4 linked regions of the Anolis sagrei genome follow. The protein of the gene in region 4 purifies or fractionates together with the protein of the main gene of each other region. This does not show direct contact. Links are inferred from orthologs where the notes say so. Each region holds a gene or a part of one and is shown on either strand. Other genes may lie near its edges. The genes, in order: SMAD4, TGFBR1, TGFBR2 and SMURF2.

Region 1 (8,005 bases), about 110 Mb from region 4:
AGGCTGGCATTTGAACCTTGCTGATTGAATTCTTCCTTGATTTTAAATGTTATGTATTACATGTGTATATTGTGAACCGCTGAGCCTCCGGGGAGTGGTGGTATACAAAATTGATTAATAAATAAATAAATATAAATAAATAAATATTTTAAATAAATAAAGCCATCACTTTGAATTGTGCCGGGTAGCAAACTGGCAACCAGTGAAGGCGGCGTAACAGAGGGGCTGTATGCTTGAACGCTGCTCCGGCAAACAATCTGGCTGCCGCCCATGGGACTATCTGAAGCTTCTGAACAGTCTTCAAAGGCAACCCGATGTAAAGTACATTGCAGTAGTCTATACGAGATGTATGCAATACCTCATTATGGATGTATATGCAAAAGACAGGTATTCCAAAATCTAGTGTAAGACTAGTTCAGTGGTTCTCAACTTTCCTAATGCCGCAGCCCCTTAGTACAGGTCCTCATGTTGTGGCGACCCCCAACCATAATATTATTTTCGTTGCTACTTCACAACCGTAATTTTGCCACTGTTATGAATGGTAATCTAAATATCTGATATGCAGGACGTATTTTCAGTCACTGGACCAAATTTGGCACAAATACCCAATACTCCCAAATTTGAATACTGGTGAGGTTGGGTGTGATTGATTTGGTCATTTGGTAATGCTGGAGTTGCTGGGATTTATAGTTCACCTAAAATCAAAGAGCCTTCTGAACTCCACCAATGATGGAACTGAATCAAACTGGGCACACAGAATTCCCATGACCATGAGAAAATACTGGGAAGGTCTGGTGGACATTGACCTTGAGTTTTTTGGAGTTGTAGTTCACCTACATCCAGAGAACACTGTGGACTCAAGCAATGATGGATCTGGATCAAACTTGGCACAAATACTCAATATGCCCAAATGAGAACACTGGTGAGGAGCCTTCTAATCAAGGTGAAAGAAGAAAGCGCAAAAGCCGGGTTGCAGCTAAACATCAAAAAAACCAAGATTATGGCAACAAGAATGATTGACAACTGGAAAATAGAGGGAGAAATCGTGGAGGCCGTGACAGACTTTGTATTTCTAGGTGCAAAGATTACTGCAGATGCAGACTGTGGCCAGGAAATCAGAAGACGCTTCCTTCTTGGGAGGAGAGCAATGTCCAATCTCGATAAAATAGTAAAGAGTAGAGCTATCTCTATGGATGTGAGAGCTGGACCTTGGGGAAAGCTGAGCGAAGGAAGATCGATGCTTTTGAACTGTGGTGTTGGAGGAAAGTTCTGAGAGTGCCTTGGACTGCGAGAAGATCCAACCAGTCCATCCTCCAGGAAATAAAGCCCGACTGCTCACTGGAGGGAAGGATACTAGAGACAAAGTTGAAGTACTTTGGCCACATCATGAGGAGACAGCAAAGCCTAGAGAAGACAATTATGCTGGGGAAAGTGGAAGAGGGGCCAACCAAGGGCAAGAGGGATGGATGGCATCCTTGAAGTGACTGGACTGACTTTGAAGGAGCTGGTGGTGGTGATGGACGACAGGGAGCTCTGGCGTGGGCTGGTCCATGAGGTCACGAAGAGTCGGAGATGACTGAACGAATGAACAACAAATGAGAAAATACTGGGAAGGTCTGGTGGACATTGACCTTGAGTTTTTTGGAGTTGTAGTTCACCTACATCCAGAGAACACTGTGGACTCAAGCAATGATGGATCTGGATCAAACTTGGCACAAATACTCAAAATGCCCAAATGTGAACACTGGTAGAGTTTGGAGAAAATAGACCTTGCCATTTGGGAGTTGTAATTGTTGGGATTTATAGTTCACCCACAATAAAATAGCATTCTGGACCCCACCGATAGAATTGGACCAAACTTTCCACACAGAACCCCCATGACCTATGTTTTCTGATGGTCTTTGGCGACCCCTCTAACACTCCCTCACGACCCCCAGGTTGAGAAACACTGGACTAGTTAAATCAGGGCCGAGACAACTTTGAGTGTTTTAGAATCATAGAATCAAAGAGTTGGAAGAGACCTCATGGGCCATCTAGTCCAACCCCATTCTGCCAAGAAGCAGGAATATTGCATTCAAATCACCCCTGACAGATGGCCCTCCTGCCTCTGTTTAAAAGCTTCCAAAGAAGGAGCCTCCACCACACTCCGGGGCAGAGAGTTCCACTGCTGAATAGCTCTCACAGTCAGGAAGTTCTTCCTCATGTTCAGATGGAATCTCCTTTCTTGTAGTTTGAAGCCATTGTTTCGCATCCTAGTCTCCAAGGAAGCACAAAACAAGCTTGCTCCCTCCTCCCTGTGGCTTCCTCTCACATATTTATACATGGCTATCATATCTCCTCTCAGCCTTCTCTTCTTCAGGCTAAACATGCCCAGCTCCTTAAGCCGCTCCTCATAGGGCTTGTTCTCCAGATCCTTGATCATTTTAGTCGCCCTCCTCTGGACACATTCCAGCTTTGGACTCCATCTCCCACAATCCCTAACAGCGCTGTTAGGAATTGTGGGACTTGGAGTCCAAATAATTTTAAACTGGCCAGACTTCCCTCCACATTAAGAAGCCCAAACTCGCCTAACTTGGTGGGACTGATGAGGCAAACCCAGTTCAATCCCTTCACGAGGACCAACGATGGCCACACAACTCCCCAATGGTTGCCAACTCTAAATCCATCCCTGGGAGTTCCTACTCGCCTGGGCCTGGGCCGGGACCCTTCCGTCGCCGCGGCCTTCCTTCCCCGGCCCGCGTCCTCCCTCCTCGCCTCCGGAAGGCGAGAATGAGGGCAGTCCACGGCCGCCGCCGCCGCCTCCTCCACTGCGCCTGCGCACGGTTGAAACTCAGGCGCGAGGAACGTTCCAACCGACCGCCGAGGCCTCCTGCGTCGCCGTGTTGTTGTTGCTGCAGACACGTCCGAGGCAGATTGCGCCGCGCATGCGCCACATCCGGGGTCCTGTTTCCCCTCGCAGACTGCGCATGCGCCTCCAGGCCACTATGGTTCCTCGTTTCTTTTTCCCTCCTTGCCGCCTGCGGGTCAGTCCCTCAAACTGCGCATGCGTCCCATCTCACTCCCAAGCCCTCATTGCCGTCCCACAAACTGCGCATGCGCCCCAATACTACTACGCTTCCTCGTTTGTTTCTCTCTCCAAGCCCTCATTGCCGCCTCTTTCAGTCCCGCAAACTGCGCATGCGTCCCATCTCACCCCCAATCCCTCATTGCCGTCCCACAAACTGCGCATGCGCCCCAATACTACTACGCTTCCTCGTTTGTTTCTCTCTCCAAGCTCTCATTGCCGCCTCTTTCAGTCTCGTAAACTGCGCATGCGTAGTGTCGGGAAATATCCCTTGTGATTTCCCTTGGAAAGGATGCGGGAGGGCGGGCGCGACGCTGACTTCGTAAAGTTTATGGTTGTCGTATCCTTTTCAAGAAATGAACATGCGTGGAAGGGTGTTTTTTTTTAGACACTTTCCATACAGCTGTATAAAAATCCACATTGAACTGGATTATATGGCAGTGTGGACTCAGATAACCCAGTTCAAGGCAAGATTCTGGGAAAGATTGTTAAGGAAGTGGTCTGCAAACACTTAGAAACAAATGCAGTCATCGCTAATAGTCAACATGGATTTATCAAAAACAAGTCATGCCAGACTAATCTGATCTCTTTCTTCGATAGAGCTACAAGCTGGGTAGATGCGGGGAATGCCGTGGATGTAGCGTACCTGGATTTCAGTAAGGCCTTCGACAAGGTCCCCCATGACCTTCTGGCAAGGAAACTAGTCCAATGTGGGCTAGGCAAAACTACGGTGAGGTGGATCTGGAATTGGTTAAATGGACGAACCCAGAGGGTGATTCTCCCCAATGCTTCCTCTTCATCCTGGAAAGAAGTGACGAGCGGAGTGCCGCAGGGTTCCGTCCTGGGCCCGGTCCTGTTCAACATCTTTATTAATGACTTAGATGAAGGGCTAGAAGGCAGGATCATCAAGTTTGCAGACGACACCAAATTGGGAGGGATAGCCAATACTCCAGGGGACAGGAGCAGGATTCAAAACGATCTTGACAGATTAGAGAGATGGGCCAAAACTAACAAAATGAAGTTCAACAGGGACAAATGCAAGGTACTCCACTTAGGCAGGAAAAACGAAATGCAAAGATACAGAATGGGGGGTGCCTGGCTCGAGAGTGGTACGTGTGAAAAAGATCTTGGAGTCCTCGTGGACAACAAGTTAAACATGAGCCAACAATGTGATGTGGCGGCAAAAAAAGCCAATGGGATTTTGGCCTGCATCAATAGGAGCATAGTGTCTAGATCTAGGGAAGTAATGCTACCCCTCTATTCCACTTTGATTAGACCACACCTGGAGTATTGTGTTCAATTCTGGGCACCACAATTCAAGAGAGATATTGACAAGCTGGAATGTGTCCAGAGGAGAGCGACTAAAATGATCAAGGGTCTGGAGAACAAGCCCTATGAGGAGCGGCTTAAGGAGCTGGGCATGTTTAGCCTGAGGAAGAGAAGGCTGAGAGGAGATATGATAGTCATGTATAAATATGTGAGAGGAAGCCACAGGGAGGAGGGAGCAAGCTTGTTTTCTGCTTCCTTGGAGACTAGGACGCGAAACAATGGCTTCAAACTACAAGAGAGGAGATTCCATTTGAACATGAGGAAGAAATTCCTGACTGTGAGAGCCGTCCAGCACTGCCCCGGAGTGTGGTGGAGGCTCCCTCTTTGGAAGCTTTTAAACAGAGGCTGGATGGCCATCTGTCAGGGGTGATTTGAATGCAACATTCCTGCTTCTTGGCAGGGGGTTGGACTGGATGACCACGGTGGTCCACGCTCTTGTCACATCCCGGTTGGATTACTGCAACGCACTCTACGTGGGGTTGCCTTTGAAGACTGCTCGGAAACTTCCAGCGAGAAGCAGCCAGATTGCTCACCGGAGCGGCGTACAGGGAGCACACCACCCCCCTGTTGCGTCAGCTCCACTGGCTGCCGATCCAATTCCGAGCACAATTCAAAGTGCTGGTTTTGACCTACAAAACCCTATACGGTTCCGGCCCAGTGTATTTGTCCGAACTGATCTCCCTCTACATCCCACCTCGAAGTTTAAGATCTTCTGGGGAGGCCCTGCTCTCGACCCCGCCAGTGGCACAAGTGAGGCTGGCGGGGACGAGGAGCAGGGCCTTCTCAGTGGTGGCCCCTCACTTGTGGAACTCACTCCCCGGGGAGATCACATCGACGACTTCCCTTCTAGCGTTTAGGAAAAAACTAAAGACCTGGATGTGGGACCAAGCTTTTGGCCATGCTGACAACTAACTAAAGGACCTGTCGATAGACAAGGACAATGGAATGGAATGGATATATGGACTCTGATATATGGACTCTGACATGAGATAGTTTTTATGATTTTATTAGGTATTGATGTTTTATTTTAATTGTTGAATTGTTATATTTTGTATTGTTTGTTGTGTGATTTGGGCATCTAATTGTGCCTTTCCTGTAATCCGCCCTGAGTCCCCGTCCCCCCCCGGGGTGAGAAGGGCAGGGTATAAGTAGATAAAATAAATAAATAATAAATAAATGAGGTCTCTTCCAACTCTTTGATTCTATGATTCTATGACTTCTTGTTTGGATAGGTCCAAAGGACAGGTTGCTTGCAAGAGCATAGGTACATGCTATGTATTTCCTTACCAGCAAGAAATAATCAAAATAATATAATCCAGTTTTTAAAATCAACACATTTGTTGAGTGTCAAAAACTAGAATGTCAAAATCCAGTATTTTGGAGCCACCAACTGGAAAGGCATTCAGTCTGCCATGACATACAAATGGACCAGGACCCAGCTTGCGGAAAGGCGTTGAACGCGCAAGTGATTAGCTACAGGAAATTTTCCTTGGCTTGGCCCATGAAGAGAAGGAAACCCTGACTGAGCTGAGTCAGCCCCTGCTATTTAAAGGACAGAATGTGTTTGCAGCTGGAATCGTCCATCTAAACCACACCCTGTTTATTTGAACATGGGCAAGATTTAGCTCTCCGTACCCACTGGGCTTGCCGAGTTTAAATTTAGATCAAGGATATCTGAGCTAGAGAGGGGATCTGGGAGGGAGGGAGGCTGCCAGGAGTGTGTTCAAACTCTGGATGCACTTGAATTCGGTAGCTAAAGGGGAAATGAGAGCTCTCCTGTTTCGTGACATCTTATACCACGGGGAGAATAAACCACATTTCTGAAGTCTTTGCACCTCCCTGTTCCACAAAGCTGTTTTTGCTGGCGGTGGCACATGGAACATGAAATGCCTCCAACTTAGCAAGGAGGCACGCACACAACCCTACTATTAAACTTCAAAGCACTACAATCCTGCTTGGAAATAATTTGTTTGCTGTCCACTGGGCTGAATTAATTCTTGATCTCCAGAATGAATTCCCAAATAGGATGGAGTCAACATGGTAGAACTAATGCAAGTTTGAGACAACTTTAACTGCCATGGCTCAATGCTATGGAATCATGGGTGTTGTAGTTTGATGAGGTACCAAAGACCATGTAAAACTAGAACTCCCATGATTCCATAGCATCGAGACATGGCAGTTAAAGTGGTCTCAATCTGCAGTAATTATGCAGTGTAGAAGCACCCTGAGAGGAAAGGAACTTTTTTGCAGAGTTTGATAGGATTTGTTGGTTGAAGGCTTTCTTGGCTGGAATCACTGGGTTGCTGTGAGTTTTCCGGGCTGTATGGCCATGTTCCAGTTGCATTCTGTCCTGATGTTTCACCTGTATATGTGGCAAGCATCCTCAGGGGTTTGTTCAGAGGTCTGTGGAAATGAGACAAGTGGAGTCCAGGGTCGGAGAAAGAACCCTTGTCTGTTTGAAGCAAGTGTGAGTGGAGAGTCAGCATCTGCCAGGAGCTGAGATGAAGCCAGGATATTTCAGGCTGGAAAAACATCTATCATTTATTTACATTATTTGGAACAACATCAGCAAGAAATATTACTATATAAGAGACCTTCTAATATTTCTAAAATTGTGGCAGATTGGAGGAGTCTGGTCCACCCGCCATGCTCTCTCCATGGGAAGGAAAGAGATGGTGTACCTTTGGAAGTGGCAGATCTGCAATGGAACACAGTCTGGTCCTTGCCTCCTTTTCTCATGGGAAGAGAAAGGAGTGTAATTTTGGAGTCCTGATACATTTGCAGTGAGTCAGTTCCTGCTGTAGGGAAAACGGATCTGATCCTTGGCATTGTGTTATGGCTTTCTGGAAGTTTTGGAACTGTCTGTTGGCTGCAGGGAAAGCAGGGTCTGGCTTAAGCAGGTGCTTTTCCAAGGAGAGAGAAAGGAGAAGGTATTATTTGGATGCATGAGGATGAATGAATATGTATGGTTAATGCGAATGCAGAGTAAAAATGTATTTCCCCTTTGTTTGTTAACCAATATAACTGTAGGTTGTTTGTGGATTCAATGTATGTTAGCATGTCTGTATGTATGTTAGCATGTCTAAATGTTGTTCTTTGTGTAAAACTGTAAAGGTTTTGATACACTTTCTCTTACTGGGCCAGGCTATAGAACAACTGCTAAATCACCACCAACAGCAATAAGATCTACCAACTGAAAGTTTGCTAGTTCAAAGCCCAGGTCAGAGTGAGCACCTGACTGTCAGCCCAGCTCACTGTTTACCTAAGCAGTTCAAAAACAGCTTAGAGCTGTAAGTAGAGAAATTAGGTACTACTAAAAAGCGGGGGAGGTATTTTATGACACCATAAAAGAAAAAGACCAGAAAATGCTGGTGACCAAACAGAAGGAGGAAGACCTGATGGCGCTTCGTCATAGAGAATGGATCGAAAGCACCCACCCACCCACCCCCACGGCTGGATTTGAGCACAGAAAGCTGGATGTCAACACAACATGTCTCCTTTCTGTCTGTTCTGTCCTGTCTGTCCAAATGGCATTAAATGTTTGCTGCGTATATAAACTATGATCCACCCAGAGTATTGTTGCTGTTGTTGTTGTTATTATTATTATTATTA
Region 2 (7,077 bases), on a different chromosome or scaffold from region 4:
ATTCTCTACCCTGCTTTCTTTCCTTCCCTCCTTCTTCCCTTGTTCTTTCCCTCTTTATTTCTCTCCTTCCTTCCCTACCCTTCTTTCTTTCCTTCTCTCCTTCCCCCTTCTTTCCCTCTTTCTTTCTCTTTCTCTCCCTCCTTCCTTCTCTACCCTTCTTTCTTTCCTTCTTTCTCTCCTTCCCTCCCCCCTTCTCTCTTTCCTTCCTTCTTTCCTCCTTTCTGTGTATGTGTTTTGTGTGTGTATATGCATAGATGTGTGTGTTTGTGTATATATGTGTGTGGGTTTGCACATGCATTGTAATGTATTTTTGGGGGGAGGTTGCTTTTTAAGTCTCTTCCACTGTGTTTTTCAGTTTTTATGAGTGATGGTCACTCGTTGGCCTGATAGATGTATTTTGTCCAAATTTGGTGTCAATTCGTCCAGTGGTTTTTGAGTTATGTTAATCCCACAAAGGAACATTACATTTTTATTCATTTGATTGTTTAAATTATAATCCGGCCCTCCAACAGTTTGAGAGACTGTGACCTGGCCCTCTGTTTAAAAAGTTTGAGGAGCCCTGGTGTAGTGGGTTGGACTGGATGGTTCTCGTAGGCTCCTACTGCTCCAATTCTGTAACATACTTACTTACTTACTTAGGCGATCCCTCGTTGGACGAGTAAGATGGTCTTCCTTGATGACTATTTTTGTGGGTTTGTAGGTGGCTGTGGAGCCCTATTCTTGACCCGCATCTTCTCCCACAGTGAAGGCATTGGTTTCCAGCTGGAAGGCGGTCCCAGCCGGGGTTGGCTTGATGCACCTTCCTCCTGGCACGTTTCTCTCTTTCACCCTCCACTCGTGCCTCCTCGAATTCTGCAGCACTGCTAGTCACAGCTGACCTCCAGCTGGAGCAGTCAAGGGCCAGAGCTTCCCAGTTCTCAGTGTCTATGCCAGAGTTTTTAAGGTTGGCTTTGAGGCCATCTTTAAATCTCTTTTCCTGTCCTCCAACGTTCCGTTTTCCGTTCTTGAGTTCGGAGTAGAGCAACTGGTTTGGGAGACGGTGGTCAGGCATCCGGACAACGTGGCCGGCCCAGTTGATGGCAGAGGACCATTGCTTCAATGCTGGTGATATTTGCTTTTTCCAGCACACTGACGTTTGTCCGCTTGTCTTCCCAAGATATTTGCAGGATTTTCCAGAGGCAGTGCTGATGGAATTGTTCCAGGAGTTGTATGTGACGTCTGTAGATAGTCTACGTTTTGCAGGCATATAGAAGGGTTGGGAGGACAATAGCTTTATAGACAAGCACCTTGGTATCCCTACGGATGTCCTGGTCCTCAAACACTCTCTGCTTCATTCGGAAAAATGCTGCACTCACGGAGCTCAGGCGGTGTTGAATTTCAGTGTCGATGTTGACTTTGGTGGAGAGGTGGCTGCCAAGGTAGTGGGAATGATCAACATTTTCTAATGTTACACCATTAAGTTGTATCTCTGGCATTGGGGAGGGGATGGTTGGTGACTGCTGGAACAGCACTTTGGTTTTCTCGATGTTCAATGACAGGCCGAGCTTCTCGTATGTTTCTGTGAAGGTGTTTAGAGTGGCTTGTAGATCTTCTTCTGAATGTGCACAGACGACATTGTTATCAGCATACTGGAGTTCTATATCAGATGTTGTTGTAACCTTGGTTTTGGCTTTCAGTCTGCTGAGATTGAATAGCTTGCCATCTGTCCGATAGATGATTTCTAGGGCTGGGCGGTTTCGTTTGTTAATTTCGTAATTCGTTATTAATTCGTATTTAAATTAGCTTACGGTCCGATATTGAGCCATGCAGGAATAGAGTAATTAAAAATCGAAACAATTTTTCCAATTTATTTCGTATTGTTTTGTAATTGGTTCGAAATCGTTTCGTTATTATTTCCGCATGTCTGGTGTAAGTTTTAGGGTTGCTGTTTGTTTTATCAGTGAAAAAAAATATAATTGTCACACCAACAGTCAACAACAGAGGGAGAGGGAAGCTTCAGAAGTTCCCCCTGTCCCATTTGGAGGTTTTTTTAGCGTATTGCGCGATCGCGTCCGCCATTAACGAATCGATTCGTAATTGTTTCGTTATTGTTTCGTATTTTCCGAAATTTCGTAAATATCGAACTTTTTTAAAGAAAATGTTCGGAATTCTTTTAAAAATCGAAACGCAAAAACCCCCTAAAAACGAATCGAGTTTAGAAACAAATTTTTCCGTGGTTGGACAGCCCTAATATAAACCCATTGTCCTAATTCCAACAGACCTCACTACCTCTGAGGATGCTTGCCATAGATGCAGGCGAAACGTCAGGAGAAATGCCTCTAGAACATGGCCCTATAGCCCGAAAAAACCCTCAAGAACCTAATGAAAACAATGGTTGGGGATCACCACAACACGAGGAACTGTATTAAGGGGTCATAAGGAAGGTTGAACACCACTGTCCTAGTGAGCCGTGCCCCCTCCCCTTTCTCGACTGCCCTTCCTGGAGGGACGAACTCAGATGGTGAAGCTGGGAGACGCCTGCTCTGACCCCTGGCCTTTGTCCTGTGGGGTCCCGCAAGGCTCTATTTTGTCGCCCATGCTTTTTAACATCTACATGAAACCGCTGGGAGAGGTCATCCGGAGTTTTGGAGTTGGGTGCCATCTCTACGCGGATGACACACAACTCTACTACTCCTTTCCACCTAATTCCAAGGAGGCTTCTCAGGTGCTAGACGAGTGCCTGGCCGCTGTGTCGACCTGGATGAGGAAGAACAAGCTGAAGATCAATCCCGACAAGACAGAGGTCCTCCTGGTCGATCGTAAACCGGATCGGGGTATAGGGTGGTCACCTGTGTTGGACGGGGTTACACTCCCCCTAAAGCCACAGGTCCGCAGTTTGGGTGTCCTCTTGGATTCTTCGCTTACACTTGAGGCTCAGGTGTCGGCGGTATCCGGGAGGGCCTTTGCGCAACTGAGACTTGTGCGCCAACTGCGACCATACCTCGTGAAGGCTGATCTGGCCGGGGTGGTCCATGCCTTGGTCACCTCTAGAATGGACTACTGCAATGCGCTCTACGTGGGGCTGCCCTTGAAGACGGCTCGGAAACTTCAATTGGTCCAGCGGGCAGCAGCCAGGATGCTAACCGGGGCTCATTATCAAGAGAGGTCTACCCCTCTGTTTAAGGAGCTCCACTGGCTGCCATTTATTTTCCGAGCCCAATTCAAGGTGCAGGTGCTTACCTATAAAGCCCTAAACGGTTTGGGAGCACCCTACCTGCGTGACCGCATCTCCATCTACGAACCCACACGCTCGCTCCGGTCATCTGGGGAGGCCCTGCTCGTGATCCCACCCACATTGCAAGCGCGCTTGGTGGGGACACGGGACAGGGCCTTCTCTGTGGCGGCCCCCCGACTTTGGAACGCCCTTCCAAAAGATCTCCGACAGGCCCCTACTCTAGCTGTTTTCAAAAGGAATTTAAAAACTTGGCTGTTCCGTTGTGCCTTCTCTGACTAGGAATCCCCACCCCAAGTCCTAGTAGCACCTTAGCATAACTAATCGTCGCTGCACACCGCACTTTTAATCCTACGTGCCTCCTGCCATTCAGCACTTTTAACCTTGTACCCCATTGCGCCGGCCGAACCAGTTTTTAACAATGTCTTGATGTACTGCCATTGTCGTTATTTTGCTTATTGTTTTGATTTGCTTTGCTATTGTTGTGTTATGTTTTCTATTGTATTGTGTTTTGAGGCTTCGGCCTGTGTAAACCGCATCGAGTCCTCCGGGAGATGCTAGCGGGGTACAAATAAAGTTAATAATAATAATAATAATAATAATAATCTTCCTACGGAAGCCTCCGCAGACAGAAGTCCTCCTCCTCCTTCGCGCAGCCGGCGGCGCCCCTCGCGGCTTGTTGTCTGGCCTGTGTCTGCGGCGGGGCGTGGGCGGAGCCTAGGACCAGCGCTGGCCAATCAGGGGAGGGCTTTGTTTGCCCGAGTCGCGGGAGCCCCGCTCACCATTCAGATGCTGAGTGGCTGCGAAAGAAAGGAAGAAAGGACGGAGGAGGGGGGGAGGGGCGGGCCCAGTCCCGCTCGGCTGAGGGGAGAGGAGGAGGAGGAAGAGGAAGACAAGGAGGAGGCGGAGGGGGACCAGCGCGAGACAATGGCGGCGGCCGCCTTCTTCCCTCAGCGCCTGAGGCGGGAAGCCCGCGCGAGTTTCTTCCGCTGGGCGAGTTGGGCGGCGGCGGGCCTCCTCCTGCTGCTGCTGCTGCTCCGCCCGGAGGCGGCCTCGGGTGAGTCAAGCGGGCCTCCCTTCGCTCCCTTCGCCCCTGGTTGGCAACATGGCGCTGGTCGGGGGCCCTCCGGCCTGCAAACCCCATCCTCCCCTCAACTCTTTCTCTCTTTCCCGCGTGTTTCTGTTCCTCGCCGTTTCCGACTTGGAGCGCAGTACACAGCGAACTTTCTTTTCCGAAAAGGCGAGGCTGAAAAGGCCTGCGAGGTCGCCTGAGGGACGCCCTCAGCCCCTGGGTTTCCCAAAACAGATGGGCCTCGCTCCTGGCGCAAAGGCGCTCCATGAGGGAGGGAGGGGAGGACTCCCTTTCTCCTCCGTGACCGCCTCCCTTTCCCCCTCTCCCGCACACAGCCCTTTGTGGCCACCGTCGCTCCTTTCAGGCAGCAGCTGGACACCTCTTCTCCCACCATTGGAGAAGCCTCCCCCCCTTCTCCCCACATACACACTTTGCTTGGGGGCTCATACAGTAAAAACATTTTGGCAACTAGACATTGACCCGAATGTGTCCCCAACAACTTGCAGTGTTTACAGATGGTTGCTTCAGCTGTCCTTCAGCTGGAGTAGATTGTTTGTATGTTATGTTTCAGACTACACAGAGAAGCCATTGAAATCCACAAGCATGTGGACAATTTCAACAGAAAGGAGGAGACCATGAAAATGAACACAATCTGGCTAGCAGTATTAGAAAAAACTCTAAAATTACTACAGCAAAACAGCAGAGAGGAAACAACCAGGCACATCTTAACACCTCTCAACAGAACATTTTCCCAGGCTCAGCCAAGCCTTCAAATGCTAATGAAGGTGATCAGCTGAAACATTCACACCTAGCTTCAGCAGAGAGCTCTTTGTCCCACCCCAGTCATTCCACAGATATATTAACCCATTTTCTTATTTCCAGCAGACCTCACTACCTCTGAGGATGCTTGCCATAGATGCAGGCGAAACGTCAGGAGAAATGCTGTTCCTCCAGAGGACAGGAACAGGATTCAAAACAATCTTGACAGACTAGAGAGATGATTGGCCAAAACTAACTAAATGAAGTTCAACAGGGACAAATGCAAGATACTCCACTTTGGCAGGAAAAACAAAATGCAAAGATACAGAATGGGGGAGAATGCCTGGCTGGAGAGCAGTACGTGTGAAAAAGATCTTGGAGTCCTCGTGGACAACAAGTTAAACATGAGCTCACAATGTGATGTGGTGGCAAAAAAAGCCTGGGATTTTGGCCTGCATCAATAGGAGCATAGTGTCTAGATCTAGGGAAGTCATGCTACCCCTCTATTCTGCTCTGGTTAGACCACACCTGGAATATTGTGTCCAATTCTAGGCACCACAATTCAAGAGAGATATTGACAAGCTGGAATGTGTCCAGAGGAGGGTGACTAAAATGATCAAGGGTCTGGAGAACAAGCCCTATGAGGAGCGGCTTAAGGAGCTGGGCATGTTTAGCCCGAAGAAGAGAAGGCTGAGAGGGGATATGATAGCCATGTATAAATATGTGAGAGGAAGCCACAGGGAGGAGGGAGCAAGCTTGTTTTCTGCTTCCCTGGAGACTAGGATGCGAAACAATGGCTTCAAACTACAAGAGAGGAGATTCCATCTGAACATGAGGAAGAACTTCCTGACTGTGAGAGCCGTTCAGCAGTGGAACTCTCTGCCCCAGAGTGTGGTGGAGCCTCCTTCTTTGGAAGCTTTTAAACAGAGGCTGGATGGCCATCTGTCAGGGGTGATTTGAATGCAGTATTCCTGCTTCTTGGCAGGGGGTTGGACTGGATGGCCCATGAGGTCTCTTCCAACTGTATGATTCTGTGATTCTATGACCTGAATGTGTTCTCAACAACTTGCAGTGTTTACAGATGGTTGCTTCAGCTGTCCTTCATAAACAGGGAGAATCATCCTTGCCAATGCTGTTGCCCAAGGCTTGAATCACCGGGGGTCCTTTCACACAGTGTAACATGCACAGATTATCTATAGGAGGGGTCCTCAAACTTTGTAAACAGAGGGCCATGTCACAGTCCCTCAAACTGTTGGAGGGCCGGATTATCATTTGAAAAAAATATGAATTAATTCCTATGCACACTGCACATATCTTATTTGTAGTGCAAAACAATTAAAAACAATACATTAATTCATAGAATCAAAGAGTTGGAAGAGACCTCATGGGCCATCCAGTCCAACCCCCTGCCAAGAAGCAGCAATGATGCATTCAAATCACCCCGACAGATGGCCATCCAGCCTCTGTTTAAAAGCTTCCAAAGAAGGAGCCTCCACCACACTCCGGGGCAGAGAGTTCCACTGCTGAACGGCTCTCACAGTCAGGAAGTTCTTCCTGATGTTCAGATGGAATCTCCTCTCTTGTACTTTGAAGCCATTGCTCCGCGTCCTAGTCTCCAAGGAAGCAGAAAACAAGCTTGCTCCCTCCTCCCTGTGGCTTCCTCTCACATATTTATACATGGCTATCATATCTCCTCTCAACCTTCTCTTCTTCAGGCTAAACATGCCCAGATCTTTAAGCCACTCCTCATAGGGCTTGTTCTCCAGACCCTTTATTATTTTAGTCGCTCTCCTCTGGACACATTCCAGCTTGTCAATATCTCTCTTGAATTGTGGTGCCCAGAATTGGACACAATATTCCAGGTGTGGTCTAACCAAAGCAGAATAGAGGGGTAGCAATACTTCCCTAGATCTAGACACTATGCTCCTATTAATGCAGGCCAAAATCCCATTGGCTTTTTTTGCCGCCACATCACATTGTTGGCTCATGTTTAACTTGTTGTCCACGAGGACTCCAAGATCCTTTTCACACGGAG
Region 3 (7,342 bases), on a different chromosome or scaffold from region 4:
AAGATACAGTCCCACTATTCTAAGGCACTGGACTCCCAACTTATCAACTACAGGATATAGTTGTCCTATGCTATGGAGCCCCTGGTGGCACAGTGGGTTAAAGCGCTAAGCTGTTGAACATGCTGACCGAAAGGTCAGCGATTCGAATCTGGCAGAAGCCCCAGCTTCTGCCAACCTAGCAATTTGAAAGCATGCAAATGTGAGTAGATTAATAGGAACTCCTCAGGCAGAAAGCTAACGGCGCTCCCTGCAGTCATGCAGGCCACATGTTCTTGAAGGCGTATACAGACGACAACAGTTCTTCGGCTTAGAAATGGAAACATTATGTATATATTCAGTTTTATCATATTTATTTAGTATATTGTTATAAGTGATTTACTTAACTTGCTATACAGAGTGAAATCAAGTTTTATCAAGCCTTTTTGTTTGGTTTGGTATTGTGAAATGGCCTAAGGGCTAATCAATAAAATTTACTACTACTACTACTACCACTACTACTATTACTACTACACTACTATATAGAAATTGAGATAAGCACCACTCTCCAGAGTAGGACACAACTAGACTTAATGCCAAGGGGAAACCTTTACCTTTACTATTCTAAGGGACTGTGCCCCCAATATACCATCTCAGAATATAGTTCCCTAATGTGAAGCATTGCACTCCAAACTTGTCAGCTGCAGAAGGACTTCTTAAACTTCTTTCACTCGCAACCCCTTTTGGTCCTAGGTACATACTTGTATAAAAATCAAATACTTACTGGGAACAAATGAAGGATTGCTAAACAGGTTGGTTTTCCCTTTTTGTGCAGTACAGCTGTGAAGCATTTACTGCAGAGTCCACAGTAAACGCTGCATATTACTGCTAACCAGGTCTGGAACCAGGGGGGGGGGGGGATTAAGAAAACCTAGTTACCCAAGAATTTGTTAACCAGTTAAAATTCATGAGTAAACCAGATTTTAAACTCCCCCCCCCCCCCCGCCAACAGATTTATATAAATAGGCAGCATACCTTGGACTGTTACCAATTTTATTAAGCGAAAGGGACGCTATTTGGGGTGAGGACCCACAGCTGAAAAAGCAGCAAACAAGATATAGTTCCCCTATGCCAGTGTTTCTCAACCTGCGTGTTGGGACCCCTGGGGGGGGGGTCACAAGAGGGTTTCAGAGGGGCTTGCAAAACACAGTATTTGCTGTTGGTCATGGGGGGGGGGGTACTATATGGGAAATTTGGCCCAATTCTATTGTTCATGGGGTCCAGAATGCCCTTTGATTGTAGGTGAACTATAAATCTCAGCAACTACAACTCCCAAATGTCAAGGTCTATTTTCCCCAAACTCCACTAGTGTTCACCTTTGGGCATATTGAGTACTATCCATCCCCTGCCACGTGTGCTGCTGTGTCCCAGTCTCTGTATATGTGTTTTGTGTGTGTATATATGTGTATGTGTGTGTGTGTATTTGTGTATATGTGTATATATGTGTGTGTATATATGTGGTTTTGCGCATGTGTTGTAATGTTATTTTTTTTGTTTTTTGGCTTTTTAAGTCCTTTCTGCTGTGTGTTTTTTCTTTATTTTTGCTTTTATGAGTGATGGTCACTCGTTGGCCTGATAGGTGTCTTGTGTCCAAATTTGGTGTCAACTCGTCCAGTGGTTTTTGAGTTATGTCAATCCCACAAACTAACATTACATTTTATTTATATAGATTCGTGCCAAGTTTGGTCCAGATCCATCACTGTTTGGGTTCACAGTGTTCTCTGAATGTAGGTGAACTACAACTCCAAAACTGAAGGTCAATGCCCACCAAACCCTTCTAGTATTTTCTGTTGGTCAAGTTTGGTTTAATTCCATCCTTGGTGGAGTTCAGAATGCTCTTCGATTGTACGTCAACTATAAATCCCAGCAACTACAACTCCCAAATGACAAAATCAGCCCTCTCCCTGAACCCCACCAGCATTCAAATGTATGGGGTATTTGTGCCAAATCTGGTCCAGTGAACAAAAACACATCTGCATATCAGATATTTACATGATGATTCATAACAGTAGCAAATTACAGTTATTAAGTAGCAACGAAAATAATGTTATGGTTGGGGGGGGGGGGGTCACCACAACATGAGGAACTGTATTAAGGGGTCGTGGCGGTCGGAAAATTGGGAACCACAGTCCTAAAGGCACTGTAACCCTTATTTCTTTGGAATAACCTTCTATTCCTGGCAAATAGAGCCAAGAGTGGCTCCTTTTGGGGCCAAGCTGAGAGAAAATGATCACTTAAGGCAGGCATGGACAAACTTGGGCCCTCCAGGTGTTTTGGACTCCAACTCCCACCATTCCTAACAGCCTCAGCCCCCTTCCTTTTCCCCCTCAGCCGCTTCTAAGGCCACCCTTTCCCCTCCTAGTAAGGGAGAGGTTTCCTTCTGGATACAAAGAGAAATATAGGGGAGAAGAACCGGACAGAAAAGTTCCTCTGAACTTTCCCAAGCGCTGAAGCGGGAGAGGAAGTGGCCCTGAGGCAACCCAAGGGAGCTCCTGACCATCTCCAAAGCTGTGGCTCTCTCTCTCTCTCTCTCTCTCTCTCTCTCTCAGGAGCGTTGCTGGAACGCAAGAGGGGGAAACCTCTGGTGCGAGCTTTACCTGTGGCCCGGGCCAGCGCGGGCGTGGCGATGTGCAGCAGAGTCCACACCAAAGCGAGCTTGGCAAGCCAGCTCATGGTACATCCGTGCCTTGGGCGCCCGCGCGCGGGGGGGAGGCGGCCAGGGCTTCTTTGGGGGCTCCAGGGGGAACCACAGCCAGCCGAGGAGGCCCCGCCAGAGGCAGCCGAAGGAGCAGAGGCGGATGGGCGGCTGGGCGGCTGCTGCTGCTGCTGGGAGTGCGTGCCTCTGTGACTCACGCCCCTCCGCTCGCTGCAGCCCGGCCTGCTTGCTTGCCTGCCTGCCTGCCTGCAGGGGAAACAGGAAACCTTCGAAGTTCGCAAACAGCTGGGCAGGACTTTCTTCACTCTGGCTGGAGTTCCTTCTCCGCTGGCCCGCCCTCCTCCTCCTCCTCCTTCTCCTCTGGAACCGCTTCGCCCCAGCGCGCCCTGACAGGCACACACCGCACGCACGCACACTTCTACACACATGCAGACACACAAACACAAACTTATACACCCAGACAAGCGCATACACGCACATGTATACACACAAACATACTCGCAGACAGGCGCATATACTCACATATGTACACACAAACTTATATACGCACATACACGCACACAAACTTATACACACAGACAAGCACATGCCTATAGATGAGGCATGGGCAAACTTCGGCCCTCCAGTGTTTTAGACTTCAGCTTCCACAATTCCTAACAGACAGGCGCATACACTCAAATACATAAACACAGATTGGTGCAGACACTCATGTACATACTCACAAACTTATACACACAGACAGGCGCATACACTCACGTGCATACACACAAACTTATACACACATAAAGGCATATACATTCACATGCATACACACAAACGTATACACACAGACACGCACATACATACACACAAACTTATACACACAGAGAGGCACATACAGTCACATGCTTACACACAAACAGGCACATACACTCACATGCACACAAACAGGCACATATACTCACATACATACAAACAAACGTATACACACAGACACGCACATACATACACACAAACTTATACACACAGAGAGGCACATACAGTCACATGCATACACACAAACAGGCACATACACTCACATGCACACAAACAGGCACATATATTCACATACATACACACAAACTTATACACACAGACAGGCATATACACTCGCATACATACGCACAAACAGGCACATACACTCACATACATACACACAAACCTATACACACAGACAAGCACATGCATTCATATACTTACACACAAACAGGCACATACACTCGCATACATACACACAGACAGGTGCATACACTCACATACATACACACAACTTATACACACAGGCAGGCACATACACTCACATACATACACACAAACTTATACACACAGACAGGCACATACACTCACATACATATATACACACAAACCTACACATACTTACAGGCACACACATACACACAAACGGGCACATACACTCACATACATACACACAAACTTATACTCAAAGACAAGCACATACACTCACATACATACACACACACTTATACACACTTACAGGCACATACACTCGTAGACATACACACAAGCAGGCACATACACACAAACCTATACACACAGACAGGCACATACACTCACATACATACACACAAATTTATACACACTTACAGGCACATACACTCGCATACATACACACAAGCAGGCACATACACTCACATACATACACACAAACTTATACACACAGGCACATACACTCACATATGTACACACAAACTTATACACACAGACAGGCACATACGCTCACATACATACACACAAACTTATACACACTTACAGGCACATACACTCGCATACATACACACAAGCAGGCACATACACTCACATACATACACACAAACTTATACACACAGGCACATACACTCACATATGTACACACAAACTTATACACACAGACAGGCACATACGCTCACATACATACACACAAACTTATACACACTTACAGGCACATACACTTGCATATGTACACACAAACTTATACACACAGACAGGCACATACGCTCACATACATACACACAAACTTATACACACTTACAGGCACATACACTCGTATACATATACACAAACAGGCACATATATACATACACACAAACTGGCACATACACTCACATACCAACACACAAACTTATACACACAGACACGCACATACATACACACAAACTTATACACACAAACAGGCACATACATTCACATACACATAGACAGGTGCATACACTCTCATGCATACACACAAACTTATGCATACAGACAGGCACATACACTCACATACATACACACAAGTAAACCACAGACATGTACATACACTCACATACATACTTATACACACAGACAAGCACATACACATACATACACACAAAGTTATACGCACAGACAGATACATGCCTATAGATCAGGCATGAGCAAACTTTGGCCCTCCAGGCCTACCAGTGTGCATATGTGTGTTTATGTATAGAACAGTGGTTCTCAACCTGTGGCCCAAGCCTCCCTCCAACCTCACACGCACATGCGCACCATTCTGCTATGTGCCGAACATGCCTGCTCTCCCCTCCCCTGCTTGGTGTCTCAGAAACAGCCCTCCCCTTGGCTGAGAGGTCGGCCAATCACAGCACAGGAGAGCTTTTGGTGGGAAGATTTGCCGTCTGTTTCCAAAAAGAAAGGGAAGGACAGGCAGAGAGATCTTCGGCCTTCTCTGCTAAAGGGGTTCCTAAGGCCATCAGAAATATATGTTTTCTGATGGTCTTTGGTGACCCACTAAAACCCCCTTGTGACCCCCAGGTTGAGAAATACTGATCTAGCTTAATGCTATAGAATCATGAGTTGTAGTTTTACAAGGTCAAACAGTATTGATGTGTGATTCTTAGCCATATAATTCACCCATTAAAAGCTGCATTTAGCTGCAAATCTAAGGTTTCTTACATTTACACAGTTCTGAATTTCGTCATGCCTGCTGAGATATAATCAGTATACTGTCATGTCTGCAAAATGTATTACGCAGAACATGTTTTCTGCCTCCTGGTGCAAAAATCGGAGTGAGATAAATACATGAAGAGTTAGAAACCTGTTTTCTAAACTTTGTTGGACTATGACTCCCATTAGCTCTAGCCAGCACAGTAAAAAGGTAAAGAATGATAGGAATTGTAATATAACAATGTCCACCATTCCTGAAATACAACAAAATACTTTTGCATGGTGCTAATGAGCAACAAATTGTACTACTGTTTTGAATTTCAGAGCGTTTTGCTTTCTTTTTTCCTGTTGCTGAACCATTTCTGCTAGTTTTTACTTGTTCTGAGGAATTCATTCATCTGTTTATATTAGTGCAAAAATGTTCAGCCTCAAGCAAAGGCATTTACGGAAAGTTACACGCAGAAAAGTTTCTGTAAAAGTCTGATTTCAAACTGTCAGAAATGTACACCACATTTTGCTTGTTTCCCAGTCATAATTAAATTAGAACATCTGTTGCCCATAATCATCCTTCATATAGAGGCAACTATGGCATCGTTTTCAGTTTCTCGGAATATATAAACCAAATTTTGTTATCTTCATGATTAGTTTTAATGATGCATTTGTGCTAGAGTTCCTGAAAGGTACTAATTTTCTTCATATTTTAGGATCTAAATGCATAATAAATGAGCAGAAAGCAAGTGGAAATAGAATTGGCCTAGCCCCATGCTCCAGACAAGCTGCATTAATTCTGCAATGTAGAATTAATGCACCCTGAGTCATATTTTCAATTAAAGTTTCTTTATATATGCATGAGTATATAGGGTTTTGAATCTCAAGATTGTCATGGTGATAGCGAACAAAAATGCTTTCAAACTTGTGATCAACTTTCTTAACCACAACTGTAATGCCCTTTGCATGAAGTTGTCTTTGATAGTCCAAAGGAAGAAGCTAATTCAAAATGAGGTGGTCATCATGTTGGTGCTTGTTGAGCTGTTGCTTGCCAACCAACCAAACAAGATATTACAAACATGATCCAGGCTTTGCATTTGCTTTATTCCTATACCAGTGTTTCTCAACCTGGGGGTCGGGACCCCGGGGAGAGGGTTCATGAGGGAGTGTCAGAAGGGTCACCAAAGACCATCAGAAAACACAGTTGATCGTGGGAGTTCTATGTGCCAAGTTTGGGTCAATTTCTTCGTTGGGGGAGTTCAGAATGCTCTTTGATTATACAGGGTTAGTCAAAATGCATAGGCCAATAAGCCATTCAATTGAATGGCTTATTGGCCTATGCATTTTGACTAACCCTGTATGTCAACTGTAAATCCCAGCAACTACAACTCCCAAATGACAAAATCATGCCCCCCCCCCCCAACCCCACCAGTATTCAAATTTGGGCATATCAGGTATTTGTCCAAATTTGGCCCAGTGAATTTTTTTTGTCATGTCAGGAGCGACTTGAGAAACTGCAAGTCGCTTCTGGTGTGAGAGAATTGGCCGTCTGCAAGGACATTGCCCAGGGGATGCCCAGATGATTTGATGTTTTTATCATCCTTGTGGGAGGCTTCTCTCATGTCCCCGCATGAGGAGCTGGAGCTGATAGAGGGAGCTCATCCGCCTCTCCCGGGATTTGAACCTGCGACCTGTCGGTCTTCAGTCCTGCTGGCACAGTGGTTTAACCCACTGCACCACCGG
Region 4 (7,733 bases):
CTGTAATCAGATAGAACTGGATTATATGGCATACAATCTGGTTCAATGCAGTTCAATCTACATTATATGAGGCCTCTTCTACACTGCCATATAAAATCCAGATTATCTGCTTTGAATTTGATTATCTCACAGTGTAGACTCATATAATCCAGTTCAAAGGAGATAAAGTGGATTATCTGATTTGATATTCTGGGTAATATGGCCGCGTAGAAGGGACCTGAGACTACACTAACCATATAATGCAGTTCAAACTGCATTATATTGCAGTGTAGATGGGGTGTACTAAGACCCTTTCTACACGGTCATATAAAATCCAGATTATCAACTTCGAACTGGATTAAATGGCAGTGTAGACTCATAATCCAGTTCAAAGGAGATAGCATGGATTATCTGCTTTGATAATCTGGACTATATGACAGTGTAGAAGGGCCCTTAAAGAGTTGCGAAGAGGTTTCAGTTTTGAATCCCTCCTTTCCGGTTCCTTTTAAAATTGACCATACTTTAGAATCCTATGCTGTATAGAGAGGAAATGAAATCAGGGGTTCTTTTACACAGCCATATAATCCAGAATATCAAGGCAGAAAATTCCACAGTATCTGCTTTGAACTGGGGCCCCTTCCACACAGCTGTATAAAATCCCATATTGAATTGGATTATATAGCAGTGTGGACTCAGATGTTCCAGTTCAAAGCAGATATTGTGAGTTATTGTGCCTTGATATTATGAGTTATATGGCTATGTGGAAGGGCCCTGAGTCCACACTACCATATAATCCAGATAATGTATGATTTTATACAGCTGTAAGGAAAGGTCCTCAGATAGCCCAGTTCAAAGCAGATATGGGATTTTATGCCTTGATATTGTGGGTTATATGGCTGTGTGGAAGGGCCCAGAGTCCACACTGCCATATATTCCAGTTCAAAGTAAATAATGTGGGGCTGTATAATCAGCTGTGGGAAAGGGCCCTGAGTCCACATTACCATATATTCTAGTTCAAAGCAGATATTGTGGGATTATATTCAGCTCAAGGGTCTGGAGAACAAGCCCTATGAGGAGCGGCTTAGGGAACTGGGCATGTTTAGCCTGAAGAAGAGAAGGCTGAGAGGAGATATGATAGCCATGTATAAATATGTGAGAGGAAGCCACAGGGAGGAGGGAGCAAGCTTGTTTTCTGCTTCCTTGGAGACTAGGGCGCGGAACAATGGCTTCAAACTACAAGAGAGGAGATTCCATCTGAACATTAGGAAGAACTTTCTGACTGTGAGAGCCATTCAGCAGTGGAACTCTCTGCCCCGGAGTGTGGTGGAGGCTCCTTCTTTGGAAGCTTTTAAGCAGAGGCTGGATGGCCATCTGTCGGGGGTGATTTGAATGCAATATTCCTGCTTCTTGGCAGGGGGTTGGACTGGATGGCCCATGAGGTCTCTTCCAACTCTTTGATTCTATGATTCTATGATTCTGTGGAAGGGCCCAGAGTCCACACTGCCATATAATTCTGATAACGTAGGATTTTATACAGCTGTAAGGAAGGGCCCTCAGATAACCCAGTTCAAAGCAGGTATTGTGGGATTTTCTGCCTTGATATTCTGAGTTATATGGCTGTGTGGAAGGGGGCCTGAGAGCTGAAGAGAATATCACATTTTTTGCTTTGAACTGGGATATATGTGGACTCAGATAACCCAGTTCAAAGTAGATACTGTGTGGTTTTCTACCTTGATTTTGTGGGTTATAGGTCTGTGTGGAAGGGCCCAGAGTCCACACTGCCATATATTCCAGTTCAAAGCAGATATTGTGGAATTGTACTCAGTTGTGTTGAAGGGCCCAGAGTCCATACTGCCATATATTCCAGTTCAAAGCAGATATTGTGGGATTGTATATTCAGCTGTGGGAAAGGACCCAGAGTCCACACTGTCATATATTCCAGTTCAAAGCAGATATTGTGGGATTATCTGTGGGCTCTTCCACACAGCGGAATAAAACCCTACATTATCTGCTTTGAATTGGGATATCTTGCAGTGTGTGTGGAAGGGCCCTGAGTCCACACTGCCATATATTCCACATAATCCAGTTCAAAGTAGATACTGTGGGATTTTCTGCCCTGATATTCTGGGTTATATGGCTGTGAGGAAGGGCCCAGAGTCCACAGTGCCATATATTCCAATGCAAAGCAGATAATGTGGGGTTGTACTCAGCTGTGTGGGGAAGGGCCTCCAGAGTGGCTTGCTGCCTCCTGAGGCCTTCCCTTGAGGCTTTCTGAGGGAGACTGCAGGTTCAACCTCAAAGCCATGGAAGCCTTGTGTGTGTGTGTGTGTGTGTGTGTGTTCCCCTTCCCCCCACTCCCCTTCCCCGCTTTATTTCCCCAGCCCCCCAACGCTGTGAGCCTTCTTCTCTCCTTTGGAAGGCCCCGTGTTTCCTGAAGTAACGCCTGAACAGGAGCACAAGGCTGTTTCTCCCCCCCCCCCCCGCGCCCCTTCCTCCCTCCCTTTCTCTGCCTGTCTCTCACCTGTCAGTCGCAGCTTGACGGGCCCGTTCCTCCGGGCCCCGGGGTTGGACATGACCCCCTCCCCCCGAGGAAGGCAGGAGAAGGCGGAGGAGGGAAGGCAGGCCTGCTAATGGAGGCGGCTCAGGGAAGAAGCAGCAGCAGCAGCAGCAGCAAGCAGGAACAGCGGCGGCAGCGGCAATCGCCGCCGAAGGGAGAAATGCCCGGATGTGCCCAGTGTCGCCATGAGCAGGGCTCGCCTCAGAAGAGGAGGAGGAGGGAGAGGAGAGGAGGCCGCCTTCCTTCCTTTCTTCCTGCCTGCCTTCCTTTCCTTCCTTCCCGCCCTCTTGTCGGGCAACAAAGGCGGGGAAGGGAAGCCAGAGGGCTGTCCCTCCTCCACACAAAGGGGGTCTCCGCTGTAAAACCGCCTGCCCCGCCTCCTCCTGGCTGCTGGGAGGCTGCACTGGATTCTTAACGCAGTTTGGCCCTGCTTGAACTGCCATTGGGTCCTGAGCTGCCTTTTCTGTGGGCCCTTCCACACAGCCTTATATTTCATGATATCAAGGCCCACAGTATCCACACAGTCCTATATCCCACAATATCAAGGGAGAAAATCCCACAGGATCTGTTTTGAACTGGGTTATTTTGAGTCCACACTGCCATATATTCCAATTCAAAGTAGAAAATGTGGGATTTTATTCAGCTCTGTGGAAAGGCCCTCAGATAACCCTGTTCAAAGCAGATATTGTGGGGTTTTCTGCCTTAATATTCTGGTATACAGGGCTGTGTGGAAGGGGCCTGGGTTATCTAAGTCCACACTCAAATAATAAGGGGTTTTCTGCTTTAATATTCTGGGATATAGGGCTGTGTCTGGGATCTGGCCGGGGTGGTCCATGCCTTGGTCACCTCTAGATTAGATTACTGCAATGCGCTCTACGTGGGGCTGCCCTTGAAAACGGCTCGGAAATTCCAACTGGTCCAACGGGCAGCAGCCAGGATGTTAACCAGGGCTCCATACAGAGAGAGGTCAACCCTCCTGTTCAAGGAGCTCCACTGGCTACCATTTATCTTCCGAGCCCAATTTAAGGTGCAAGTGCTTACCTTCAAAGCCCTAAACGGTTTGGGACCAGCCTACCTGCGTGACCGCATCTCCGTCTATGAACCCACACGTTCACTTCGCTCATCCAGAGAGGCCCTGCTCGTGATTCCGCCTGCGTCGCAAGCGTGCTTGGTGGGGACTCAAGACAGGGCCTTTTCTGTGGTGGCCCCCCGACTCTGGAACACCCTCCCAAAGATCTTAGACAGGCCCCTACACTGGCAGTCTTCAGAAAGAACTTGAAGACCTTGCTGTTCCGATGTGCCTTCCCAGATTAGGAATCTCCAATACCAAGTCCCAGAAGCACTTTAGTAGAACTAAGATCGCTGCACACCGCACACTGCACTTACTTTATAATCCTACATACCTCCTGCCACATCAGCACTTTTAATCTTGTACCCATTACCCTGGCCCGGCCCGGTTTTCATAGTGTCTTGATGTATTGTTTATTGCTTGTTGTTTATACTGCTTAACTGTTTTTAATTTGCTTTAGGTGTTGTTTTGCTTTGTTGTATTGTGTGTTGAGGCCTTGGCCTTTGTAAGCCGCATCAAGTCCTTTGGGAGATGCTAGCGGGGTACAAATAAAGTTATAATAATAATAATAATAATATAATATGGGGTTTTCTGTCTTGATATTCTGGGATATAGAGCCTGGGTTATCTGAGTCCACACTCCAATAATATGAAGTTTTCTGTCTTGATATTCTGGGATAAAGGCCTGCGTGGAAGGAGCCTGGGTTATCTGAGTCCACACTCCAATAATATGAAGTTTTCTGTCTTGATATTCTGGGATATAGGGCTGTGTGGAAGGGGCCTGGGTTGTCTGAGTCCACACTCAAATAATATGGGGTTTTCTGTCTTGATATTCTGGGATATAGGGCTGTGTGGAAGGGGCCTGGGTTGTCTGAGTCCACACTCAAATAATATGGGGTTTTCTGTCTTGATATTCTAGGATATAGGGCTGCGTGGAAAGGGCCTGGGTTATCTGAGTCCACACTCCAATAATATGGGGTTTTCTGCCTTGATATTCTGGGACATAGGGCTGCGTGGAAGGGGCCTGGGTTATCTGAGTCCACGCTCAAATAATATGGGGTTTTCTGTCTTGATATTCTGGGATATAGGGCTGCGTGGAAGGGCCCCATAGTCACCAAGGGCTCTTTCACACAGCTGTATAAAATCCACACTAAACTGGATTATATGGCAGTGTGGACTCGGGGCCCTCCACGCAGCCATATAACCCAGAATATCGAGGAAGAAAATCCCACAATATCTACTTTGAACTGGATTATATGAGGCCCTACCTACACTGTCATATAAAATCCAGATTATCTGCTTTGAACTGGGTTATATGACAGTGTTGACTCATATAATCCGGTTCAAAGCCAATAATCTGGATTATTTTATTTGATCATCTGGATTATATGGCAGCGTAAAGGGGGCTGAAGACTGGGGGCCCTTCCACAAAGTCCTATACCCCAGAATATCAAGGCAGGAAATCCCACAATATCTGCTTTGAACTGGGTTATCTGATGGCCCTTCCACACAGCCCTATATCCCTATATATAAGGCAGGAAATCTCACATCTGAGTGTGGATTTATCTAACCCAGTTCAAAGCCGATATTGTGGGATTTTCTGCCTTGATATTCTGCAATATAGGGCTGTATGGAAGGGCCCTGAGTACATACTCAGATAGTGTGGGATTTTCCACTTTGATATTCTAGGCTGTAGGGCTGTGTGGAAGGGCCTTCAATCTATACTACCCAATATCCCAGGATCTGATCACAAATTATCTACTTTGTACTGGATAATATGACTCGACACTGTCAGATAACAGTATGTAAAAAAAAGTTGGAAAAATTGTCTGTTCCTGGTTTGAAAGCGTTACTTCTCTTTTAATTGAGCGGTGTTTACTTTGAAACTAATAATCATAATAATTTTTATTTCTTACCCGCCTCTCCTCATGGCTTGAAGTGGCTGAGGCCCCTTCCACACTGCCCCTGTATCCCAGGATTTGATCCCAGATTATCTTCTTATCCCAGAGTATCTGTCAGTGGAGACTCATATAATCCCCTTTAAAGCAGAAAATCTGGTATCAGATCCTGGGATATGGGGTAGTGTAGAAGGGGCCTAACTTTGGAAGCAGTTGTTATACTCCATAAACTTCATTTTTGTGGCTGCCACAAACTATGTTGAATTGCTTGAGAATCAATGAAATATTCATTGAAAAACTATATCAAAATGTGCTGCAGGATGTCCCGCAAAAATGAAGTTATTGCATCTTAATAAACTTTTCCCATGTTTTCAGGATAGAACGAATTAGGAAATTACATTTATAACCCAGGCCCTTTCTACACTGCAATATAAGATCTGGATTATCTGCTTTGAACTAGATTTTATGGCAGTGTAGACTGGGCCCTTCCACTCAGCCGTATAACCCAGAATATAATGTGAGATAATCTGATTATCGGAGGGCCCTTCCACACAGCCATATAACCCAGAATATCAAGGCAGAATAATCCACAATATCTGCTTTGAACTGGAATATCTGAGTCCACACTGCCAGTTCAAAACAGATAATGTAGGATTTTATTCAGCTGTGTGGAAGGGTCCTGAGCCCACACTGTCATATAATCCGGTTCAATGTGGATTTTATACAGCTGTGTGGTAGGGACTCTTTCTACACTGCCAACAGTTCAAATCAGATAATCTGGATTTTATATGCAAGTGTAGATCCTGCCTTAGGGCCCTTCCACACAGCCATATAGCCCAGAATATCAAGGCAGATAATCCTCAATATCTGCTTCGAATTGTGTTATCTGAGTTCACACTACCATATCATCCAGTTCAATGTGGATTTTATACAGCTGCGTGGAAGGGGCCCAAGTCTTATCCAGGGCCACTTCAGCCTTATAAAGACCCTTGAATCCATGGAGGGAGAATCCATGAATACAGAGGGCCAACTGCAGGCAGTCCCAAGTTACAAATATCCCATTTACAAATTGCTCATAGTTAAGAACGGCGGGGGGGGGGGGGGGGGCAGGACAATAGGAAGGGAGTGAATTCTATCCCTAGGAAGGGAAATTCACTCCTGGAAGAGTTATTATCATGGGGAAAAGGTGGCTCCAATGAAGTTTTCTCACCAGTCCTTGTTTCCACAACAAACCACATTTTCCAAAATCCACTGGTCACAGGGAAAGAAAGTAAGGGAGATGTATTGTCGAAGGCTTTCATGGCTGGAATCACTAGGTTCTTGTGGGGTTTTTCGGGCTATAGGGCCATGTCCTAGAGGCATTTCTCCTGACGTTTTGCCTGCATCTATGGCAAGCATCCTCAGAGGTAGTGGAGGTAAGGGAGAATCTTTTGAACAGGGGCACAGTCAGCAAAACAAACACCATAGGGCTGTTAACCATTCCCTATGCTATCCACATATATATAGCTTGAATTACACCAACCTACATAAAAATTCAGTTTAAGAACAAACCTACAGAAACTATCTTGTTAGAAGATGGAGATTTAAATAGAAATGTAGTACATCTCACCACAGTGGAAAAGATTTTGTGGCCAGATGGTCTCCTCAATTTGCTATGTAGGTCTTAATTGTTGATGGACAACTTCTAAGCCTATGCTCTTTCTTCTTAGGGCCCTTCTACACTGCCATATAATCCAGGGCCCTTCCATGCAGCCCTATATCCCAGAATATCAAGGCAGAAAATCCCAAAATTTCTGCTTTGAAGTGGGTTATCTGAGTCTACACTCAGATAATGTGGGGATTTTCTGCCTTGATATTCTGGGATATAGGGCTGTGTGGAAGGGCCCTGAGACTATATAGTTATGGTGATCACTGGGGCCCTTCCACACATCCCTATATCCCAGAATATCAAGGCAGAAAATCCCACAATATCTGCTTTGAACTGGGCTATCTGAATCCACACTCAGATAATGTGGGGATTTTCTGCCTTGATATTCTGGGATATAGGGCTGTGTGGAAGGGCCCTGAGACTATATAGTTATGGTGATCACTGGGGCCCTTCCACACATCCCTATATCCCAGAATATCAAGGCAGAAAATCCCACAATATCTGCTTTGAACTGGGCTATCTGAGTCCATACTCAGATAATGTGGGGATTTTCTGCCTTGATATTCTGGGATATAGGGCTGTG

Evidence for each region.
Region 1: the proteins of SMURF2 (region 4) and SMAD4 purify together in Homo sapiens (affinity purification with western blotting; 3 studies listed by BioGRID). This does not show direct contact. The link is inferred for Anolis sagrei from reciprocal best matches to the Homo sapiens genes SMURF2 and SMAD4.
Region 2: the proteins of SMURF2 (region 4) and TGFBR1 purify together in Homo sapiens (affinity purification with western blotting; 8 studies listed by BioGRID). This does not show direct contact. The link is inferred for Anolis sagrei from reciprocal best matches to the Homo sapiens genes SMURF2 and TGFBR1.
Region 3: the proteins of SMURF2 (region 4) and TGFBR2 purify together in Homo sapiens (affinity purification with western blotting; 3 studies listed by BioGRID). This does not show direct contact. The link is inferred for Anolis sagrei from reciprocal best matches to the Homo sapiens genes SMURF2 and TGFBR2.

Annotation. Positions count from the first base shown.
Region 1 is NC_090022.1:287,005,786-287,013,790, forward strand, and holds the start of SMAD4 (mothers against decapentaplegic homolog 4), read right to left. Parts: upstream 3,006-8,005; 5' UTR 2,687-3,005; intron 1-2,686. UniProt on the Homo sapiens protein: In muscle physiology, plays a central role in the balance between atrophy and hypertrophy. When recruited by MSTN, promotes atrophy response via phosphorylated SMAD2/4.
Region 2 is NC_090026.1:60,590,354-60,597,430, forward strand, and holds the start of TGFBR1 (TGF-beta receptor type-1), read left to right. Parts: upstream 1-4,058; 5' UTR 4,059-4,138; coding exon 4,139-4,268; intron 4,269-7,077. UniProt on the Homo sapiens protein: Transmembrane serine/threonine kinase forming with the TGF-beta type II serine/threonine kinase receptor, TGFBR2, the non-promiscuous receptor for the TGF-beta cytokines TGFB1, TGFB2 and TGFB3.
Region 3 is NC_090026.1:82,528,654-82,535,995, forward strand, and holds the start of TGFBR2 (TGF-beta receptor type-2), read right to left. Parts: upstream 3,007-7,342; 5' UTR 2,710-3,006; coding exon 2,634-2,709; intron 1-2,633. UniProt on the Homo sapiens protein: Transmembrane serine/threonine kinase forming with the TGF-beta type I serine/threonine kinase receptor, TGFBR1, the non-promiscuous receptor for the TGF-beta cytokines TGFB1, TGFB2 and TGFB3.
Region 4 is NC_090022.1:179,910,001-179,917,733, forward strand, and holds the start of SMURF2 (E3 ubiquitin-protein ligase SMURF2), read right to left. Parts: upstream 3,016-7,733; 5' UTR 2,980-3,015; coding exon 2,501-2,979; intron 1-2,500. UniProt on the Homo sapiens protein: E3 ubiquitin-protein ligase which accepts ubiquitin from an E2 ubiquitin-conjugating enzyme in the form of a thioester and then directly transfers the ubiquitin to targeted substrates.